Neodiprion lecontei: one gene and its partners. The main gene of each other region encodes a partner of the protein of the gene in region 4 in a complex. Links are inferred from orthologs where the notes say so. Each region holds a gene or a part of one and is shown on either strand. Other genes may lie near its edges. The genes, in order: GPI transamidase component PIG-T, phosphatidylinositol glycan anchor biosynthesis class U protein, GPI transamidase component PIG-S and glycosylphosphatidylinositol anchor attachment 1 protein.

The links.
Region 1: the proteins of glycosylphosphatidylinositol anchor attachment 1 protein (region 4) and GPI transamidase component PIG-T are in contact, whole or in part, in a cryo-EM structure (PDB 7W72), measured with the Homo sapiens proteins. The link is inferred for Neodiprion lecontei from reciprocal best matches to the Homo sapiens genes GPAA1 and PIGT. Residues at the interface, in NP_003792.1 of Homo sapiens: Arg97, Ser98, Val99, Gly100, Glu102, Tyr104, Arg134, Ala135, Pro136, Arg137, Ala138, Ala139, Ser140, Thr141, Glu142, Arg171, Gly172, Gln173, Ile174, Tyr199, His200, Asp201, Val202, Leu212, Gln213, Gly214, Arg215, Ala218, Arg311, Tyr312; in NP_057021.2 of Homo sapiens: Gln91, Gly92, Phe93, Arg95, Arg97, Tyr98, Ser108, Phe211, His212, Thr213, Ser214, Asp247, Phe249, Ile250, Arg340, Gln355, Tyr357, Val358, Ser359, Gly360, Tyr361, Gly362, Leu363, Leu371, Tyr373, Lys441, Asp459, Pro460, Asn461, His462.
Region 2: the proteins of glycosylphosphatidylinositol anchor attachment 1 protein (region 4) and phosphatidylinositol glycan anchor biosynthesis class U protein are in contact, whole or in part, in a cryo-EM structure (PDB 8IMX), measured with the Homo sapiens proteins. The link is inferred for Neodiprion lecontei from reciprocal best matches to the Homo sapiens genes GPAA1 and PIGU. Residues at the interface, in NP_003792.1 of Homo sapiens: Gln245, Leu310, Arg311, Arg313, Phe358, Leu359, Ile371, Ala389, Leu390, Trp393, His397, Leu500, Ile504, Leu508, Cys512, Leu515, Thr516; in NP_536724.1 of Homo sapiens: Tyr349, Ile355, Phe356, Cys360, Ile363, Val364, Leu367, Leu368, Val371, Leu372, Leu375, Ile377, Tyr378, Ala379, Gly380, Ser381, Phe386.
Region 3: glycosylphosphatidylinositol anchor attachment 1 protein (region 4) and GPI transamidase component PIG-S share a complex: the UniProt entries of both Homo sapiens proteins name them as parts of the GPI-anchor transamidase complex. The link is inferred for Neodiprion lecontei from reciprocal best matches to the Homo sapiens genes GPAA1 and PIGS.

Annotation. Positions count from the first base shown.
Region 1 is NC_060264.1:23,625,939-23,631,782, reverse strand, and holds GPI transamidase component PIG-T, read right to left. Parts: upstream 4,218-5,844; 5' UTR 4,060-4,217; coding exon 3,753-4,059; intron 3,189-3,752; coding exon 3,014-3,188; intron 2,859-3,013; coding exon 2,627-2,858; intron 2,501-2,626; coding exon 2,333-2,500; intron 2,109-2,332; coding exon 1,811-2,108; intron 1,689-1,810; coding exon 1,536-1,688; intron 1,439-1,535; coding exon 1,192-1,438; intron 950-1,191; coding exon 700-949; 3' UTR 520-699; downstream 1-519. Other genes in the region: CD109 antigen, read left to right, coding at 1-128. UniProt on the Homo sapiens protein: Component of the glycosylphosphatidylinositol-anchor (GPI-anchor) transamidase (GPI-T) complex that catalyzes the formation of the linkage between a proprotein and a GPI-anchor and participates in GPI anchored protein biosynthesis.
Region 2 is NC_060260.1:40,147,943-40,153,254, forward strand, and holds phosphatidylinositol glycan anchor biosynthesis class U protein, read right to left. Parts: upstream 3,675-5,312; 5' UTR 3,586-3,674; intron 3,508-3,585; 5' UTR 2,447-3,507; coding exon 2,314-2,446; intron 2,247-2,313; coding exon 2,044-2,246; intron 1,924-2,043; coding exon 1,176-1,923; intron 1,068-1,175; coding exon 814-1,067; 3' UTR 541-813; downstream 1-540. UniProt on the Homo sapiens protein: Component of the glycosylphosphatidylinositol-anchor (GPI-anchor) transamidase (GPI-T) complex that catalyzes the formation of the linkage between a proprotein and a GPI-anchor and participates in GPI anchored protein biosynthesis.
Region 3 is NC_060262.1:30,735,359-30,739,999, forward strand, and holds the start of GPI transamidase component PIG-S, read left to right. Parts: upstream 1-1,605; 5' UTR 1,606-1,975; intron 1,976-2,130; 5' UTR 2,131-2,183; coding exon 2,184-2,229; intron 2,230-3,395; exon of another isoform or gene 3,396-4,641. UniProt on the Homo sapiens protein: Component of the glycosylphosphatidylinositol-anchor (GPI-anchor) transamidase (GPI-T) complex that catalyzes the formation of the linkage between a proprotein and a GPI-anchor and participates in GPI anchored protein biosynthesis.
Region 4 is NC_060262.1:35,686,648-35,693,500, reverse strand, and holds glycosylphosphatidylinositol anchor attachment 1 protein, read left to right. Parts: upstream 1-1,556; 5' UTR 1,557-1,823; coding exon 1,824-1,965; intron 1,966-2,045; coding exon 2,046-2,263; intron 2,264-2,675; coding exon 2,676-2,832; intron 2,833-2,896; coding exon 2,897-3,105; exon of another isoform or gene 3,106-3,207; coding exon 3,208-3,425; exon of another isoform or gene 3,426-4,112; coding exon 4,113-4,297; exon of another isoform or gene 4,298-4,430; coding exon 4,431-4,558; exon of another isoform or gene 4,559-4,641; coding exon 4,642-4,835; exon of another isoform or gene 4,836-4,849; intron 4,850-4,998; coding exon 4,999-5,166; coding exon of another isoform or gene 5,167-5,189; intron 5,190-5,941; coding exon 5,942-6,224; 3' UTR 6,225-6,314; downstream 6,315-6,853. Other genes in the region: uncharacterized protein LOC124293465, read right to left, coding at 1-160, 244-353, 474-611, 777-944, 1,042-1,117. UniProt on the Homo sapiens protein: Component of the glycosylphosphatidylinositol-anchor (GPI-anchor) transamidase (GPI-T) complex that catalyzes the formation of the linkage between a proprotein and a GPI-anchor and participates in GPI anchored protein biosynthesis. Binds GPI-anchor.

The DNA of each region.
Region 1 (5,844 bases), on a different chromosome or scaffold from region 4:
GGGTCTTGGACAATCAGAAAAACGAAAACGACGGTTCGAGGGGGAGTGCGTGCACCATGTACCACCTCTCGTCGCCTGCTCTACTGTTTGTCATTATGTTTGCAAAGTCATCCTTCTACTTCTTCTGATTATTTATCAAGTTGTCCGTACGTTATACAATTCCATTATAATTGTACCTAATACTTTTCAAGATTAAATTATAGCAATTACGATTAAAAATAACCAAAGTAAGTAATATACTATAATACCATGCAATTCGAGATATTCGAATAACTTTTTAAGCCGTCCATTTATCTTTTCGTTTTTGTCACGTACCCAATTGTATATTATATGTATACAATGAGATTAGTATCGGAATTGTTCACAATAAAATCTAACTATATGTTATATTTGTGTTCTCTACTGTGCCTCACAGATTCGTTCCAAATTTGCCGAGTTCTGAATTTTTTCCGTCTTGCGTTACAGAGGTATATTGGTGTTTCAAAAGGTTTGCATTTACAGAAATGAAATATGCCAACATTTTATGTAAGAAATACCAGATAATCGATTGTTTGATTTATTTACCTAATTGCTTCAAGTTTTTATTTTTACAACTCATGATATTATGTCGCCAAGGCCTTTGCGACAGATCCAATAGTGTGTACGGAGTATTCTTTTTTGGAGCGAATAGCAAATATGACTGAAGAGAACTTTGCATATCTACTCTATCTTATCTACCTTTGTTTTGGAGAGTTTCTCTCTGATGTAAGAAACTAGTTTATTTTTCTTAGATGGCTTGAGAACAAGCCTCTTTGTTGTTATGTTGTGGAGGGGTCCGAAAGCCAGTGCCACGGCCGTACAAGCCAGACAAATAACATTATAAGGCATACTAAAGTCAGGCGTTGGCAGACTGACAAGTAGAATCTCAGTCCGTAATTGGACCAGGTAACCGTCCCGAGATGCATTGAAACTGCAACCACACAATAATGATGGCTTTAGGTTGTATTATATTTGCTGCATTGACCAATCAGGAAACAGCTTCGGATGTTTCAGAATAACATCCCGTGCTGACCAGTTTAAAAAAAAAAATTACTCAATTTGCCAGGTTTAACATCTCAGTGGCCACCCTAAATGGTAATGCTCTTCTTACCTCCTGGTCCTCGAAGCTTAACGGAATATTGTTCAATAATTGATCGATCATTGTTTCCTTACCTGGATGAAATAGTACTTCCGTCCTGAGGTAGAGCGGTGTAATTTCTCGCAGTTGGGAGAAGAGAGGTTATTATTGCAGGGCCCATGTAGAACCCGTGATTAGCGTCCGGAGGGTATTCTTGCCACTTGAGAAAAAGATAGTCTAATTCTATTGAAAACTCTGTTACAGAACGCGGCGGAAGTCGCAGAACCATTTCGAGGTAGTAAGGACGTTCCCTTTCTCTACCAGGCACGTATCGCTTGATTACTGAAACCACGAGCAAAATTCACGAACCAAGGATTAGAAAAAATTATTTACAGAATGGAGATGGGAACAAACGATACTCGCAGAAATCTAGACATACGAGGCTTGAGTAATTTCCCCTGGCAGGTGATCCTTATGGTATGAGTGTAGACCGGTATGTACCATGGAATGTTCTCCAGGAGCACGACATCCAATGGCTTCCAGTAATTATTATGGAGTTTTGTCACCAGGCCGCCTCTTTCTTGACCATAGCCTGAGAACAGCGTTTTGTCACGAGTTATTCAGATCCTGCTATGTCAAGAACAATGACCGTCCATTTCATAATACTACAGTTTAATAAAGATCAAGTCCATTACAGTATAAACACAGACACACCTACTACATATCTGTTTGCAAAGAGCACCGGTGGAATTTCGACTCCATAAATTTTGGCTTTGCTGTGGACAGCAGCGACATTGAACATCCCGGCATTGGACAAAGATTTAATATCGTACACAGCTATTCTATTTTCTTGTCCTCCTCGTAAGCTGATTAGAGTCTCCGGTGGCTCAGGCACTAGCCGATAAGTTTCAGATGTCTCATTATCGGTTACATCTACATATACACGGCTCAGGGTGGCCAATGGACAAGCGCTTCGGAGTCCAATGCCGAAAAGCTTTCGCACCGACCAGTCCTGCAGGTCAGAAAGTATTGGCCATGTTCATATTATTTTGTGAACCAAAAATTATTTCAGGATTCCAATATCACGTTGGATCCAGCATTTTTAACTTGGTAATTCATAGATAAGGTTCAGTCTATTTCATTTTGTAGGATCAAGAATGATACAAAAGAATAAGATTCAACCAAAATGAGTTTTTCATAAAAATGTGCCTGCTATTCGATGCCATATGTACATACCTGCGAATCAGTTGTCATAGTGTCGTAGACCAATGAAATTGTTTGCCGCAGTTCAATGGTAGTTTGCGTGCATGCTGCATTGGTACATACAGGTCGTACATCAACAGCTATCGAGTGGTAATTAGTGTTATGGATATATGCTGAATTCAAGAGAGTAGCCAATCCTTTCTAAGGGATAAAACTATGTTGAATAGGTTTAAAATTTTTTGTTTATACGAGCAAAGACGAAAATGATAAAATATTGTGATTTCGACGTTAGTTAAATATTGTCAGAGTATTTTTTCTTGTTCATACCTTAGAGTCGCACGGTAGTAATTTTTTAAATGGTGTCAAGTTTTCTGTGCAAACTATTTCTCTTGGCAGCGAAGAATATCGAAGACAGCTAGAGTTTAGCGGTCTTGGAATAGCACCGCTGGGTCGAAAGGTAAAATCAGGTGACAAGCTGTTGGACACATCCACAAAATTGAGCGACGCGCACAGCAAACCCGCAAGAGCATTAGTCAAGCTTTTCCAATTCTCATCGATCCTAAGAGCAAGAATATCGAGTATATTATCATCAAATATGGTACTAATACAAATTTCCCAAGGAAAGGCAATCGATGAAAAGAAGATGAGAACTCTTTGAAATGTCAAGGTTGTTGAGTGATTGTCGTTAGGGTAGATAATAGTAAGTTATTGTACCTTCGGTCGTCGTTGAACCAGGCATAAACCTCGGCGCCAGAACCGGTATCTTGAAGAGGATATCCCCATTTCTCGTAACGCCATAATCCTTCAGTCAAACTGACGTGAAGTTCTCTGACATTGTGCCGGCCGATTATTTCCCCTAACCCACGAGGAAATAGCCGAGAATGTTGGACTGTATACAGAAAGATGTATGCAATTCGATAGATCAATTGCATTCAAGAATAGAGCGATCAAACAAAGAATGAGCAAATAATGAAACAATAGAGTGTCAAACTTAAAGCGAGGTTAAAGTACCAACAAAGTGAGAAAATCTAATTTCAGAACGCTATTCTCTCACGAGCAAGGAAAATACTTCAAATGTTGGGGAATGACAGTGTTTGCGATCGTATTTGTGTATTGGGACAAAAAAAATTCGAAAATTGATCTAGAAGTGCGCAAACCATGGGATTCGGATATCAGTACACCATAACCTCAAAGTGAGTGAAAATCTGGTTATGTTCAGTGTTTGCGTCAATTTTTCGAACTTACTCAAATCATCACCCAAGCACAATAGTGCACGCTATTATTTCCCAAAGATTTTTTTATTCAAGAGGGAAGAAAATTGTAAAATACGATTAACTCATCTGGTCAGCACTCCGACCTCACCTTAGTACCGCCGTTTTCCAGGTTATGACGTTTGGCCATGCATCTACACTGATATAGAAGAACGTATGTACGGATTATACGTAGTACATACAGGTTTCAGTCTCAATGTCAGTCCGCCACAGGGTAGTAAATTGAAAATGTGCGTAGACGTGTCCGCTTGGCAAGGGCTTCAGCATAAGCTCCTCGTTGAAGGCATCATCTACGTCGGAAGTACAGGAAACGAATCCGACATCTCCTATGGCACTCAATATCAACGCCTGTATAAAGTACATCGCAAACGCAGTTCGCATTTTCGCGCACGATTGTAACTGCAATTGGATTACTTTTAAGCAACCCTTCGCCCATTCGCAAATCGAGGTTAAAAACTTTTCGCACTTCGGATATACGGCTATGCGCATAACCTCCACCAGTTAATCGCACTTAAATCGCTCGAATCGTCTTTCCACCAGTCAGGACTCACTGCCGCTGACTAATGACTTGCATACATAATTGTGGAAGTTTATTTCAAAATAATTGTTTTACTGGGTACACTTACACACCCCGCGTACCTCCCTCTGCGTCATTTTCCTTATTAGTTATTAGTATTAGCATAGCCGTAAAATATAGAGCATAGACTGCGCACTCACTGGTACTGCTTGTGGCAGCGCCAAAAAGGAGAGAGAAGGAAACACACGCGGCCGATGTTTTGTCTCTTTCTAAGCATTTGATTGGTCGTTGATCAATTGCTCGGTCATGTCAAATAAACTCCATCCGATTAACAAAAATAATATCATCTAAATAAATGTACAATAAATATGCACCTGGTTTACGGTTAACAGCGTTAGAAACCTTTTCTTGATGCAAAGGATGGGAGCCAGAATCAAAGAAGTTAATCAAAGGATGGAGATATATATTTATTCCTATATGTACCGTATGTAATTTATGTACATACCTATGTTTACTACTTAACTCGTGTATCTTCAGTCAACGCTCATATCTTCGTTCCCAAAGAAAATACAGCTGACATATAAAAATAAGCTCTTAACTGACGTTAGATTTCCGTGTTTTTTTTAAATACAGTGTATTTGCAGAGGAAAACCCAGACCTTTCTACACAAAAATACTACTTGTAAATATTTTTTGTAAATTAGGTAGGACTCGATTGTTATTAATGTTTGAATCTATGCTGTAACAAACCCTAATGAACTTCAGGCAATCATTATCACAAAAGCAATTGAAAAAAATTTAAAGAAGATCAAGGTTCCTTTTTTCAACTTCTACTCATATTATTTGGTTAGATTGCGACTCTGCCCGCTAACCCCCAAACACAAGATTGTTCAAAAATTTATTATCAAGTGCCCTGATTATAATTACTCATATCTGTTCACTTTATTATAAATTTACGGCAGTGCCTGTGTTGATTGTTAGGAATTTCGAGTTTGAGAGAATATGTATTCCTGATTACTTATGCGTAAAACGTTTAGTTATTGATGCATCATTTTTTTCGCATTTTACGAATGTATCCTCTGAAAGTGCGGCCTTCACAGTTTCCTAGGCAAGTATCTGCGGGGTATAAGAAAATTATGTATAGCATACTCGTATTATGTATTATCTTACTCAGTACAACCTTTTGTACACACTATTTTATTCACAATTACATTGTAAGTAACAATAATTCAATAATCACCCGTTGAAAATCTTTCCCACTCAGAGTCATATTTTTTATTTTAACTGATTTGTGATTTGTGTTCTTGACGCATCATTTCCTTTCAGTCGGAAGTAATAAATTTATATGCATAATGTGACAACACATTTTTGTGGTTTTTCATTGAGTCTAAAACCAATTAATAATATTATAAAATGCATTTTCATTGAGTCTAAAACCAATTAATAATATTATAAAATGCAAGTTATCATATTAGTTGCCTTTCTGTTTATATATGTGAAAGTAATGAGGTTTTGAAAAATGTATTTAACAGTAGATTTGGTTAAGTAATCTAGAAATCAACCAAGTATACAAATTTGTCATAAAAATTTAAAAACATTTTTCTACAATATAGATTCAAAAGCGAAGATGGCAGTTAATTTCTAACTGTATTCCATTTGGAACAATAGGTTTTTCATACAGATTACCGGTATCTTGAACGTACAAAATTTCAACACGGTCCTTTTTGTCATTTTTAGTAGCCGGTTTTGAATGAGCTT
Region 2 (5,312 bases), on a different chromosome or scaffold from region 4:
TACAAGTGGGAAAATCCGTTTCGTATGCATATACTTCATGAAAAAAAAACTCAAGCGCATGACGAAATGGCATGCATAACTATACGTATACCCACGCGTACGGAGAAAGTGATTCGAAGAAGCTGCTTTATGTCTACGGAATATCAGGTAGCCGGGCAATATTTACGCAAGAACGTGCGTTGCGTGTATCAGGTTTTCCGTTACCGTCTTGATAATGTTTTTTCTTTTATTAATTAATCTAATTACTAAAGGCTGGGATTTAGGTATGAATACAGATAAAATTTTACTTGAACTTTAACTCACACATGCTTGTGTTCAGAATGTTCCTCATCTTCAATGGATCGCAGATTATACATTGATATTAAAATTTCACCCGCCAACGTTACGTGAGAGTAATTTTTAATCTTTGACTAAAGTGGGGATATACCACCTTGGAGTTCCAACTGTGAACCACTGCTTATTATGCGCGTTGTTGATACACAGAGGAGTGACGCAAAGTATGGATTTGGCGGGAAGGAAAGAAATAATAATTTGTTGCGCTAATGTTGGTGAATTATATTTTTAATCGTTCGTGAATCATGACACTGGATTTTGTTGTTACCCAAGCAGAGGGGATATTTTCGCCGCAATAAATTCATTGTGAATTCTCAACTAAAACTTGTGAACGTCGTAATTGACGTTACGCATTCAATTTTCAAATGAATGCTTATATGTTTAGTTCCATCTTCTTTAGAGTGCGTCCCGATTTTTCACCTCCAATCGGCATTACAATCTGGACACGGAATGTATGTGTAAGAATACATCCAATGGAGTTTATTCGAGTAAAAGTTTGCCAGTATTTCCGTGGATTTCTCTCGACAACCCGTGTCGCAAAGAAAATTCTCGTTTGACGCTGGCAAAGAGAACATCGGTAACTAAAAATATTTGGGCGATAGCAAAGGCTAGCGTGACACCGAAGTAAAAGTTCGCATTTGCTGATCGTGAATAAATCCACAGGTGCCAAACTGTTGGAGCAAACACTGTGCAGGACAAAAGGAAGCAGCTGACAATGAATCCTTGCTGCATATCTGGAGAAAATAAAATTGACGCATTAGTTTCGGAAAAATATACATAAATTGGGACAAATATGAAGGGATAAATAATTACGAGACAGTAATAGTAGATTATTGACTTACGCGGAAAGAGATGCTTCCACATTGGTAGTAGAGCCATATAAAATCCTACTTCTCCTAAACATGGGTACGATTTGAAAATAGCCGCGATTGCGAGATACGAGAAGGCCAGGAGCATAGGATCGCGGCGAAATCGTAGCGCGAGAGGAGCAACGTAGAGCAGGCCTACGTTTATTTGAAATGATGCAACAAATAGCCACCTAAAGTGTTCAAACATTTCTGTGAAGAAGTACCAGTACAGGCCGATGTTTGGCCGCAGATCAGGTACTGTTAAAATGAAACCAATTGTACTGTGCAAAAATGACCAGCTCCCTGATACTTTGTAGGAGAGGTAATATAACGCAATGAGAATACCAATGAACATCGCTATTGTCTTATTAATATTTCCGTAGGGGAAATTTTTATTTTTACCTTCTTCGTTTCGCGCCAAGTATATTGTGGCAGGTACCATAAGAGTAATGGGATAAAGTCCTTGCAATGTTAAAACAGCTATAGTGAAACAACTACATAATCTCGATTTGTTTATCATAGAATATAGAGCCGCGGATAGCAGAAAGTTCGTAAAAACGGTTGTGGTTAATCCTACACAATTAAAAACTACGTATGGGTTGAAAAGGTAAGCTGAAGGTACGAGTAAAGCGGAAGACGTAACACTGGATGCTGGTATTGACATTGATGAAGGTAAAGTTGATAATTCTTCGTCATTGGATTCCTTTTTGCGTTTCTGGATGTCTTTTTGTTCGGTGGCAATCTACAGGAAATTGGTTGAATGTTGGTTTATGGCTATGTTTTAGTAGATGTAGTACATTTGCAGTCTCGTCTTCTACTTCATTATAAAATAGATCCTATTATCATTATTGAATCAACTCACTAGTTCACTCGTGTAACGATAAGCAGTCGCACCCAAAATCCATGCCGTGGCCAAATCCGTGAAGACAAATATGCCACATAACATACACAATGACAAGTACTTTTGCATATAACTGAAGACGACAAGGCCTATGGGACTTTCATGAAACAGATCACCGGTGTAAGGATCGATACCAGCTTCTCGTAGGTAGACTCCCTCGGTAACTGGTAACAATATAAGAACGATCATACTTAGTGAGCAAAAGACAGCAAAAACATTGGAAACGCTCACCTTTTTTCCATGAGTTAAGTGCTGTGGATACTTCGACTCTGTCAGCGATGATCTTTTGATATTCGGAATATATTAATAGCAACCTTATCGTTGCCGCCAAAGCGAAAAATACAAATTTTTGAGTAGTACTCATTATAATTGGTGGCAACCACACCCTAACCTGTACGTCTTACAACACTTGACGTTTATCAGTTTCAATCTACTGTTAAAAAGTTTAATTCATTATTTAGCAACTCTATCAAACGGACATTTTTAGCCTTCATTTTTCATAACCTGAGCCGCTATTAATGCACATAAACATTAAGCCGCAATAGAGCCATAGAGAATATCGTCTTGTATAAATGGAGCTCGATGCAATTTGCTCAAACTATATACCACAGCTATAGGGTCGACTCACAGCGTCTAATAGTGCTGACGACAGCAACGACGATAGGCCGAAGTGTTGAGATTTGATCAGCTTTTAGTACAAGGTTTGCCCACTTTGGCCACAGATATACCTATTTACTATGGGTGCTAGCTAGGCCAGTTCTTTTTCGTAATGGTTTGCCGGGTCTGGAGGTAACGTACCAAATAAGACGAAAATCAAATTGTAAAACCCACAAGAATTAATAAACTAGACTAAAGTCAACTAACCTCGTTGCATTTTCCTCTACAAAATTGTGCAGATTTAAAAAAAATCTGAAAAAGAAAACGAATGCGAATAGTTTATAGTTAGGAATAATGGATTAAAAGATAGAGCGGGAAGATGATTTTAGATGGATTTCGTCGGTTTTTCTTCGTATTTGCTTACAATTAGCTGCTGGTCTTCGTACTTTCTAGATATCTTTATTGAATTCCTTAGGAACCAACGAGTGAGAAAAGGGTCCTGTAAGTCGAACCTGAGGTAAATTACTCTAAAAATCGCAAAAAAGGAAGGCTAACCCTTTTATTTTTTCGCGAGAAATGCACTCTCGCAAGTAATTCGAATGCGTTAAACTTCGTGACATATGTATAAATATACGCAATTCCAACTGATTCCAAATCCAGTTAACTATATCCAAATACATGTCGCTGTATTTTTCATTTCATAAATTTGAAGCACTTTTGATATAAAAAGTCTAGGTGTCCTGAGCACTTGTATGTATACGAATACCATGCATGTTTTTAATTTCTTCCTTCAGAATCTATAAGCAAACATGAAACACAAGGATTATACTGAATTTGCACACGTCAAATATTAATAACTATTATAATTGCTGAATATTGCAAAGTAGTAATCAAATGAGTTCATACTTCATTGATAACCCGATGCTGCTTAACTGTGTTGAGTCCTCTGAATTCTGGGGCAACCACATTTACTTCAAACATCGCGCCACACCCTCCTATGTGAATCAGGAAAATAATAGTTACATTGTTAATTTATATACATTAATAGTACATTGGTTAATTTTGCAAGGTAACATTCGACACTCTAATATTATTTTTGTGTGTGCAGCATAATATATTATCCTCTTTTAGCGAAACTATGTTATTAAACAGTAGAAAACATGTACAATAACAATGTAATAATAATTTCTGTGATTGTAAATCAGATTCATTGGTAGATACCCACCAGATACATCTGTAACTTCAATGAGGCTCGCTTTGGGAAACTTATCTCTGAGAATAGTGACCATCTTCTGTTCAGCTTGCTTGCCGGCTAGTGCTCCGTTCGGTCCACTCCAAACTCGTGACAGAAGCTGGAACACTTTCGCTTTATTCATTTTTCTCTAATTCAAATGACGTGCTTGTACTAGCAGTCTTAGCATGGAGGCGTCGGAACAGAGAGATTTCGATAAATGGTTGGAGAGGATATTGGAAAATTTTGAGGAGTTGATTACAAGTTTGCAGTAATTAAATAAGCAGTTTTCCATCAAGGTTCGTCGAAGGCATGGAAGTACAAGGCGTTTCTTAGCTTGTTTATACATTGAAGTTTTGAAGATTTTCGATGAGCCAATGCTGCAAATTAAATTTTTTACGTACCGATATGTTACGAAAGTTTTTTGGTATCACACGTCCGAACATAGCTGGGTCCTATTTTCAGAATTTTGCAAATTTCACCTGGCGTGTGCTATCACCAATCAATTCCGATGTTCAATCGTCCGTTTCAGCGCAACATTCGTGCTTGACTATCAATTATATTGATTACTATTCACAGGGCGAATCGCAAATTTCTGTTTGAGGTTACAATCCGGCAAGTTCTTCATTCAATGTCTTCTATCCTTCTTGCTCTCTAGTCTCTACTCTCTAGCCACTGAAACATGCCCTAACTAGACGAGCACAAACTCATCTCGAGTGCGCCACTTTGCGGTGACCTTGAGTCATCCCCACCTTCAATCTACAGTCACCTACAACTATAAATCTTTGTCTCAAATCCATCGAATAAGAAACAATCCTAATATAATCATCGTTATCTCTCTCGGCACGCTCTGCTCTATAGGAAAGCAAAATCGTCACAAGTTTCACCGCAAATTCACAGGAATTAGCTGTACTTTTTTGAGCATAATATTTTCAGATTCAGAATTGATTTGCTTGACACAATTCTAGACTATGTAGAACCCCAGAAACGCAGAAAATATAGCAAGAAGAGCATTGGACCAACAGCACGGAAATTACGAAGACAATCTTTCATTTTTTTGTTGTAACTTTTCATCCGTAGCTTGCAGCGTGTACGGACTGTGAGCAATGGATTCCTACAGCAAAATTACGCCGATATAGTGCATCAAAGTGATCCAATATCTTTGAAAATCATCTAAACTTTCAGCAAAAATTCAAAGGGCTTTTTAATGGGGTTAAAGGGGTTAGGCTTACATTTTTTACGAGTTTTTTGGCAAAAGACTTTTCATCTCTGAATCTATATATACTTGGGTGGTGGTAAAAACTTGGAAGAGTCAATATTTCGAATGGTGGATATACTGAGATTTCAAACATGCAAAAATCAAGATTTTGAACAATTCATCATTCGTTATTTTATTTTCACG
Region 3 (4,641 bases), about 5.0 Mb from region 4:
CATTTTGTGCCCGTCCAATCTGCGAAGAGGCATCCGTATAATATCTACTTATGTAATATATCGCTAATAGCCTATTAGTATATATTGTAGTTAATCGAAGTAATTCTTTGTACAAATTGCAATTAGTAGAATACTGGAGATGATAGATTGGACGTCCGTCTTCTTGATAAACGATTCGTCTGACATGCGAGAGATTCATGCACAATTTTTCCTTCGCATTATCAATCTTTGCATCGTATTTTATTTATCATGTGCATATATTCTTCGAACTATGTTAATGGTATACGTGAACAAGCGGCATTACTTCGCTTCAACCGCTGTATCATAATTATCTTACGTGTCGCATGCTCAAAAAAACACCTATTCCGATTGATGCACTTAACATTGCGAGTAATTATCTTCGACGAATTGAAGAATCGAATTTCATGTAGCTTCTATCATTTATGTGTCTAAAGTGTACTGCGAATGTGGATTGTCAATTGATTTTATGCTGATGCCATATTAAACTTAAGATTTGTAAAACGATACTTTGCATATCTCAGAAAAAGTTACAAGGCCGACTATTTATTCCCAAGGACAAATCATCGCACAAATGAGTGCCCATACATTATCCACTTAGTACGCACCGTGCAGCATGTTACGACTTCATTTACGTTGTCGGATAAAACGCAATATTTTTACCACATCCGGAATTTGATTACGATATGCATCAAAAACAACTTGCCTAAATGTAGTTAACCACATTCAATTTCTGTTATTGAACTTACTAACTTCAATAAAAATTCATTTCACGTATCAAAGCGGCGTACTTTTATAAAACGCAGATCAGTGCAATTACTTTGTCAATGCAGCTTGTGAACTATTTATCAGAATGTAGATTTCTCAATTGAACTATCAATGATCTGTAATCAGCAATGGTGAGTATGTTTTGAATAAGATATTGTAGCTATTGCGTTTACATCAAACAGCAATACGCGTTATTTTCGGTTTTCCTGTTTTATCACCACTTAACGATCATTGATTGCGTCATTATTGGTGGCAACGTCTGTATCGTAGTCGTTAAACATTAAAATATTCACTTCTCGGTGAGATCGCATAATTAAATAATTGGTATGAAGACTACACAGCGAAGTTAGATACTCTGTCTAGGTCTAAAGTATATTTTCTCGCGAATCGCAAACAGAATATCCGTTTTCCTAGAATGGTACGTGTGGACATTGATATCCATTAGATTTGAATATAACTGCGGATTTCTATTATAATATGTTAAAAGACATCTTTACAGTTAATTGAACCATAACTCCGATGTGATTGACTTTGTTCCATACTATTAAAAAAAAAATATTCGTTTCGATCTGACATTCTTAGCAAATAATACGTTCACCGAAAATATTATTATATACCGTTTATGCTTGCGTTCGTTTTTCGCAATATGAATGCAATTACACCGAGTGAATTAAATAGTGCGTTGACAACATCACATGACGCATTATAACGTAAAAGTGCAATTGAGCTGCGACGAATCGAACCTTATTACATCAAGCGTTGTATATTCTGCAGTCAACGCACCAAGGCTTAATGCCGCGTTCAGATTATATCACTCAGTCGGTACGTTTATTTGAGCTACAAGGTTTCACGGGCGACAACTTATCGATAAAGCAGACGTGATAGGCGCTGTCTTGAGATTTAATGATCTGAACGTATCATAAAATTTATATTATAAAACTTCGTAATGTGACATCCTAAAATGGCAATTAGCAATATTTCGAGGTGTTTTCATTTTGCACCACGGATGTGTTATAGGCAGACCTTTATAGGTATATCAGTGTTAGCACCAGTGAATGTGTGCCAACTCTTAGAATAAAAAGTCACCAAGTGCAGTCTGCTTACCTCTGCTTCATCAGTGGGTAACTAGGTTTACGGTGTTGTTGAGTGTTGTGTTAGGTTGTGTATTCGCATGATGGACTAGTCAATTGTACGTGAATCTAAGGAAAACACTCATTTAAGTATTTCTGGGCATAAATTAGAGCTCCTGAATATCTGCATTTCTATTTTAACGATAATTAACAAGTCAAAAAATGCCCAGCTCTATCAATCAATTAGTTAAAATCTGATTACATACATTTATAGGTTATCTGTACACCGCTCCAAGTCGAAATCTATTCATTGAAGCTTTGATAACAATGAGTGATAATTCGGGATCCGTAGGATACGATACGCCTTCAGATGGTAAGATCATGCGTCTCATTTTCACCCTGCTTGTGAGAATTACTCGCTCTATAATTAATTGTACGGATATGGAACGTACCCTCAGCATAATTCAACTCCGATATAATCGCTCGACGGGCTTATTCTATTGCTCTGCTACTGGCACCTAGAGCAGATTACAAACATGCAGAAAGCGTCGATGTCGAAAAAGTATTCGAGTCGGAGAGAGAACGGAACGTAATAAGACTAGATGCTCTTTCTTTCTACGTGTGCATTAGACAAAGAAAGGAACTAGTCTTACTACTTTCCTTTCTATGCCATTTTCCACTTACACGAAAGTGTATACCAGGAATTCTCCATTTCTCTATGCCCTAAGCATTGACACTATATAACCGCAATGCCTAAAATTCTAATTACCTAGTGACTGCTGAGATGGCGCCAATTAAAGAAAATTGTAATAGTTCTCCAGGTCACTCCAACATATTAGCACTGTTGTAATTATATATAGAGCAGGCACATTTGATCAGATTGAACTAAACACAGTACTATAAAAACTATGGAACAGAAGAATTTTTTCAAACTCATGCAACAGTTTACGGAAGCAGAAATAATTCTTACCAGTAATTTATGACTCCAATGCAACTCCACTTCGGTCACATGTTCACACCAATAATGATATTCTTCATAATATAGTGTTCACTTTTTTTCATTCACGGTAGAGTGGGTTATCTTGCATTAGGAAGGAAACTGTAACAAGTGAAAAAAATCTAGTACAAAATATTCTTTTTTTTAGTCTCTGTACTGAATAGTATATTATTACTGCATCATTAAATGAGATTAATGTAAAATTACTTGTAGCCTTCATCTGACAATATTAATAGCTGGGCAGGCAGAATTGTGAATTGTGAAATCAAATACTTGCATTTTTTAGACAACCACATACATAAGCACCGAGTACACAGGTGCACTTTACTATTTCCATTAGACAGAAGTAGCTGTTGCTAGACGGTTAACATTTATTCAATTTCATGATTTCTTGAACCTGAAACTTGAGTAATACCTGCAAACTAGTCTGTATACCAGCTTGTAACGCAAATCATTCACCTGGATTTCATTTCATTCTTTCAGTCTGCATCTGCCATTGATTGGAATAGTGGAAAATCCTATTCTACAACTTTTCTGAACGCATTGAACTGAGTCAACAAATTATTAGCATGTTATAAAAAAAAAAACAATTTCAAGTATGAAAGAAAAGGCGTTGGTCTTTAAAATATTTACGAATTAAATTTTCTTCTTAATATCAATCCCTTTTTGTTCAGTTTATACGCAATAAATGATGATTGGCCTTTGTCCTTTGCTTTGATAATTTATTCTAATCATTTCGTTCTTACAATCTTTTTAAATCATGGTCTGGTAAGTTTCAATACTTATTATTTTCATTCAAAAATTTCTTAAATTTATTTTCTACCTGTTGTGACGAATACTAAAACTGTTATCTTTTTGTCATACGAGTGTCAAAATGAAGCTATTACACACGAAGTCGAACGTCTAACTTAAATTTTTTTCAACGTTCGGTTACGTTACCGTTAAGAACTACATTGTACGTGATTTATATTAGGAAACCTTTCTCGGTTCTTTCACAATCGAAAAGTATATCATATAAATACCCTATAAACTGTGATGGGCGATTCGAAACTATAGTAGAGTTTCATGGAACGAAGAATTTAGTCTTTCTGGTGCAGACAAACATCTTGCGTATATGTACCTGCACTAATCTAGAGTTCGACACGTATAAAAGGTGATAAACGCTACGTGTTTCCTACCCCAGTAGTTGGATTTATTTTAAGTGGATGTAGAAATACTTATTTCTAATTAGATACATTACGTCTACCAAAAAAGCTTCTGCAATATTACATTTAATGTTTGCTTTAAGCTTTTTAGGTGCTTTGACATCCCAATTTACTCCTCCCTTTTTGAACAGATGTATTTCAAATCTAATCCAGAGACCGGTCAGGACAAGTCCGATCAGGTATTGAATACATAAATGTATTATCCTGGGGTTCCACGCTTAATGGAGTGAAGTAAAAGTAATATATTGTGAACATGCACTGCGTACCTTCATACAACCGGAATTGTATATGTCATTCATGACTGTAATCGGATATTAGATATTGAAGTTGGCGCTATGGTCTTACTAACTACATTAACTTGCTTTAAAATTCTAATTTGGATATACAAACAGGATAAACAAATTACGAGGCTGTCGAACTAGATCGTTGAACCATACAATTTGCTTATGCAAACTTTTTGATGAAAACATAACGCAACGCGTCCCGACTTGGCTCACTGAGCGTGCGCGACAGAATAATCAGGTATTAACGTTTGTCAGAAAACTTAAATAGTCACAACAGTCGTCAGTCTACTCAAGCTTTT
Region 4 (6,853 bases):
CGCAGAATGGAACGCTGCAGTATTCTTTCTCTACAATGTCATAACTTTCTGAATCAACGTAACACCACGGACCACCTGCGCTGCTATCCGGATTTCTACAGAAGTTTTTGGCCTTGTTTCGGGACAGATCTGAGAAGTAGTTACTGGGGAATTTTTCTGTCTGAGGAAATGATAAAATCGATTATGAAATGATGATGAGGCCCACAGATACTTTCGAAAATGTAAGGACCGTCAAAATTTTACCTTATTAATGGCCAATTTCAAACGCTTGTCCCAAGAATTACATTTTCTACCAGACGAAGACGTTTCTCGAGTTCCACCATACTCGGAACCTGTTCCTGATATTCTACATTCTAAAAATATGATTGAAAGAAATTAATACAGCATCAATTGAACTGAAGCACCAAATTGAATGCTACACCTTGGTATGGTGGTCAGATGTAACGATATTGGATGAACGCCTAAATGTTCACCTCCAAAATTACACAGAGGCACTTCGCATTCGTCGTCAATCAGATTTGGGTCCATTGTATAACACCAAGGACCTCGAGGATCTTTGGTCGGATTTCTACAATAGTTTCTAACAAGTCGTAAAGATCTTTCAGGAAAGACTTTATCAGTAATGGATTCGCTGACCTGCGGTGATTAGAATAATGTCGTGAAAAATGTACCGTGTAACTTAATCATCAACGACAAGTGTTGGCCGATACGTTCAAAATTTATGGATCAGATATAGCCGAGCTACTCGTGTTATGTTATCCGCATGAACAAATAACAAAAAGTCGTGACGGTACAGTAAGAGTGAACCTGATGAAGAGGTTTCTCCGAATACCACATCTGACATCGAATTCCACCAGCAGTTGTCGTGATCGAACCCATGTAATCGGTACCCAATTGCGTGAGCTTGCATCTGGACAAATCGGTACGAGTCGCGTTTCGTTCCGCTGCAGAGAAGAAAACATATAGCTAATAAGTGGATTCAAAATGTTCAAACAATTGCACTTGTGAAGGTTAATAAGTTTCCTGGATCGAATTATTTACATTTTGAAGCGCTTGAATGAGCTATACAAGTCTGTAATTCCAGTAATAATAGCGTGAAAGTAAAGGAACAAATCATTCCTAAACAATTAATTAAATACTGTGAATATAATGCAGTTTATTTGCAGAAAATGGTTCAATATACACAATTTTCGTTTTATCAAAACAACTACTATTCGAACAATCGAAACGCATTATTCATATATTTTTATATATCTCAGTGATTTTTACGGTCGAACCCTGCGTGAATACGTCTTTTGACAGGTATTTGTATTCGTCGTAACGTCTTGTGAAACAGAATACAGCTTTCCAAAACGTAAGCATAACCCCAACGTAATTCCTCGTCGAGATATGAATCATCGGCATGAATGGGATCCAAAAGTTGAATCTGAAATCCCAAACTAGCCTGCGTGTCCGTGCCTCGTCATGATTTGTAAATTATCCGCCGCAGCGTCGACATATTGAATCGAAATATGCAACCGCTAAGCACAATTCGAGAGCTGAAGTTTAGTATCGATTATAAAAATGGCCGCCGGCCGTGGGCAGGGCTGTCAAAATTGAATGTGCAGGTTGTTGACTGGTGAAAATTTGTTGTAAATAACCTGACATAAGAATTTAATTATGAATTAATTGCACCAGAGTGATTTGTAGTTACCTCAAATGTTACTGTTCAGGACAGTCTGCGTTTTTCACTAGTAATTTTAGTGTTGGAAACGATTTTGCGCGAATGTTTGAGGTTATATGCCGCTGTTTGGAATTCTTCTGTTCTCCCCGGTGTTGAAAGAATGGGTCTCTTAACGGATCCCAGAGCTGGGAATGGAGCAGTTATAAAATTTGTTATGAAATGGGAAAAGTTGTTATGCTTGACGCTGTACGTTACAGGCGTAATATGGTTTGTGTCCCTGGCATATCCTGATTTCAATGACAGTAAGTATATTTTATCGTACTAAACCATTTGATTATCAAAAATGTTGTAGTATCCAGTTTCACTTGAAATTAATTTATAGATACCTATTTTTCTGAAAATGCTCTCTTACCTGGATTGGTTACCAATGAATTTAATGAAGATGGCGGAGCGAAACGATTTCACGATGAACTCCTCGCTGAGATGAAGAAATATCCGGATGACATGCCCTACCCTTGGCTATTAGCAAAATTCCGTCAACTCAATTTAGATGTTTATACTCATAACTTTACGCTCAACTATCCACTCTCTCAACAGAAGGTATGAATTTTGTCAGAAACATGATCCAAAACATGACTCGTTATTAACTTGTGAGATGTTCTGTAGTAACTAATTTCCAATTTTTATTTCCATGCTGATTTTAGACACTGATTCAAAATACGATTTTGAATATTTATGAACGAATAAAAAACTTTTATTGATTATAAAGAAATGAATGAAATCTTACTCTAGCATTCTATAAATAGAATTTCGATTTTCAGAAACACAGTTACTAGAAAAATTATTTACCAAACGACTGCACTTAATTTCTCAAATCTGAAACTCATGAGTAGAGTTACTTAGTGCCATTTCGATAAGTAATGCAACTTTCGGTTCCTTTGAAACTTAGGTGCAAAATTATTCAAAATTCACTATCACCGCTCATCCTGCATGACAATTTTATTCTTTACAGTTTACTGGACAGAATGTGTATAGCATATTGAGAGCTCCGCGAAGTGCCAGTACCGAAGCAATAATATTAAGTGTACCATACCGATCTGCAAGCAGCATTCATCTGACCACTGCACCATCGATAGCTCTATTACTTGCATTTGCTAAATTCTGCCGGAGTAAGTGCCCTCATTTAGCTCTAACATTAACTTACGCCATATTTACAATTATTGCAATTTTCAGAACAGAATTATTGGGCAAAGGATATCATTTTTGTTGTGACTGAGCACGAGCAGTTAGGAATGCAAGCTTGGCTGGAGGCGTATCATCGCTGTACGTGTGGGCAGGATGGGGTATTGATTGCAGGCGACTTGGTAGGAAGAGCTGGGTCTATTCAAGCTGCCATAAATCTGGAAATGCACTCCTTCAAAATTGGATCCATTGACATCAAGGTGATTGGAGCTGAACCCCTGTGTCTGGGGAGTTCATTAACCACTTACTACTACTTAGCCAGTTCGATTATGCAAAAATACACAATCAATTTTTTTGTACAGGTGGAAGGTTTAAATGGACAACTTCCAAATTTAGATCTTGTTAATCTGGCAAACAAAATGTGTGCCAAAGAAGGGATCCGGAGAACATTTCAACGCAGAGCAGACAGTAATCCAAAAGACAAAATACGAAAATGGTGGTACCAATTTGTTACCATGATGTCGATGGTGTCTACGCAAGCAACTGGTGTGCCAACTGGAAATCACGGTGTTTTTCACAGGTATTGTTTGGAATGTGGATAATATTAGCAGAGCCACCTCAGAGAGTTTGATGATGAATAATAGCATAATTAGGTCTAATATTAAAAATAACGGTGCTCGACTTGTTTCGAGACCAAACTTTCTTGTGAGAAGGTTGTGCTCTTAGCTCTCCTTTTTGATTTTTGCCAAAATATTTACCAAAAAAGTTCTGAAATCAATTATTTCACATGCTACATCAATGTTGTTTTGCAAAATAAAGCTATGGCGATCAATCCCAATTTGATCCGACTACACGTTCAACAGATACAGCCAAAAACTTCGAAGAGTTCTCAGTTTTTTGAGTTGTCAATATCAAGTTTGTAGAAAATGGTAAAGAAACGAGAAACAAATTGTTGGGGTATGAACACATCTTATTCAAAGAATTGTTCAGTAACCCTTAATTTGGATCCGAAAAGCATCTAAAGTGCTCCTTATGATGTTATACCTCATGGTCAATTTTTGTGACACATGCCTACTCGTGTTGCACATGTTTAATTACAAGTATTATAATTCTGTTGCTGCAATCATTTTTTTTTGTATTGAAAGTCAAGTCATTCAATTAAGTCAGTAAGTTAAGAATCATGAAAAATGAAAATATCAAATATTTTCTCAAGTTGATTTTAATTTGTTTTACAAGAAAAAAATTAACCATTATTTTTCTGTTCAAGGTTTGGTATTGAAGCCATTACATTGGAAGGTTTTGCCAAATCCGGGTCTGGGACGGAATCCACTATTTACAACATAGGACGGGTTGTTGAAAGTCTTATTCGTTCGCTCAATAATTTATTAGAACGATTCCATCAATCATTCTTTTTTTATCTGTTACCGTCGACAGATAGGTATATTTCTATTGGTAAGTTAATAACACAAAAATTTATTTTTGGTCACAGTGGTCGGACCAATCCTGCCGAATTTGGCCAAATACGGAAATTTTAACTGAAAGTGTGTAATTTGTGTAGACTATATTGTTCTACTTTTCCTCTCAGGATTATATATGCCACCATTAGCTCTAATTATTGCTGGGCTTTTCATAAAAGCATTTTCTGTGTGGCTTAAGTTACAAGAATCTACTGAAAAAAAAGATGGTGAAAGTGATGCAGTTAAACAAGCCAAGGTGAATTTTATCAACTTTCTCCACCACCCTTTTCTGTCCTCAAAATTCGCGAAGTTGTCATTAATTTTTATAATTTAATTTAGTCAGAGGAACTTGTACTGTCACACATCGCTTGGGAGGTACTTTGGACTCACATATTGGGGGTAGCGACATTGTCTGCCCCACGATTGTTTACCTATATAGGCATAAAATTTCATCTAGCGACCGAAAATTCAGTATCCCTAGGCCTCTTACTTCTCACAATCGTGATGTTTATTGGGACTCTCTGTTTTGAAAGGTAATCTGAGCAATCTGAAACAAGGTAATATATGAAATAAAATGCATCTGCAAACCAGAATCTAAAATATTGAACAGTACCAGATTGATTTCACTTCCATCAGCAACAAGAATTTTAATCTTTTTACGAGGAGCTTAAACTGTACACAGCATCATTTTTTCAGATATAGGACCTACGAAACTGCGTCCTTACTTTATGTGATAGCATTAATAGAATTGGCAACGATGCTTTTATGCATTTCAATGCACAACTTTTCCTTGGCATTAGTAGCTGCCGTTGTGTACGTTCCTGCAGCATTGACCGTCATACCAAAGAAGGGAAACGAATCCAGGTCAGGCATCACAAATTATACCTGTATGAATATTTTTGTTTTGTAATTATTACTAAAGTCTGCAGGAAATACGATACATAGAATTTTACATGGTCTGATAAGCTTGTTCTTTTTTCATTTCTGTTGTAAGATGACTTTTCTAATCTAATCACGCTGGAAAAAGTGGTGATAAAAATACCGCTGATAAAACCATCCATTACTTACTTCTTGACAGAATTTCTAGTCATTTCCTACCGTGCAATGCTAGATAACTAGTGCAGTGCATGCTTGTTCAAATGTCTCTTATTTGGAAACTTAGCTTGTTATGCCTATGTTTGTACAACTTTCAAATATTTTATTTACGAATACGCAACGAATTTATTTTGCTTACCCAGACATCTCATCAATAATTGGCTCTTAAATTATATACTAAACACGTTCTAGATAAGATAGATGCATACAAAACATCGTGCTGATAACTGTGAGGTTTGCACACATTGGCATAGGTGATGAATCGCTGTTTTCATTTTAGTCAATCAATAATTTAAGAACAATTTTAGTGAAATAAACAGTGATGCTTGGATATTTTAGATGTAAGCACTTATTAAAAACCGAGCTATGCAGTACTTTATATATGATATTACAAATGAAAATTAATTACATGGAAAAAAGTGCTGCTTATTTAACGGTTTCAATTTTACCATTTATTCGTTTTTTCTTATATTTTAAATCGTGAATAAAATAATGCCCAAGTGATTTAGCTGAGAAATGAGTAAAACGTAAATATAATTTTCAGATTCCACAATTTACGTTGTATACCCTGGATACTGCTACATCCGCTTTGTCTAGCATGTACAGTAGTAGCGGTATATACGCATTTTACATTCCCGGACTACACAATCATTGCTTTTGCACTGAAATGGATCCAAGCATCAAAGCAAGCGATCGTATTTGGGATTATCGATTCCATGGTCTATGGGAATTGGCTGTACAGCGTAACGGTCTGCGTTTTACTTCCGACATGGCTTATATTCTGGATAGTAGTTACTTCTAAACCAATTTTGCGAATTTCTAAGTGAATGTATTATATGAAATGTAAAAATCAAAACGTGCACACGATAGTGAATAAATTTATGGAGGTAAACATATTCCGTTGAATAAAATTGAAATTTGCAATTCTTAAAGTATCTATAACTCCGGAATTGTTATCTACAATCACATATTTTTCTATGTGATTCATGAAGATTTATTTTGAGTCAATCACTGTTGCGGGTATGAATTATTGCTAACTTGTTTGAATTTACCGATTTGATGTGCCATTCGTTTGTCGGTGGACAAGTATTCAATATCATATTCAGAAATTGTACTGATCTCCTCAGATGTGCCATATAGATCATTTTCGTATTTTATGTAATCAAACGAAGTGAAACAAATGTGTTTTCCGTGGAAATAAATCAATTAATGATAATTTGTTGATGAATTTCGGGGAAAAACAACACGGGGATAGTGAAATTATTTTTATAATCAATTATAATTGATCATTATCAGCGAGTGAATAAAAATATTCGAGTACAATAAAGTTGAGGCTATTAGCAAGAAATCTCCCATCTATCTTTCAATGGAGCCACACAGCTGTTATCGAATGCTTATCGCCAATCTTTTGTTCTTGAGATATTGGAATTACGTGGGGGGTTAAAAACAGGATATA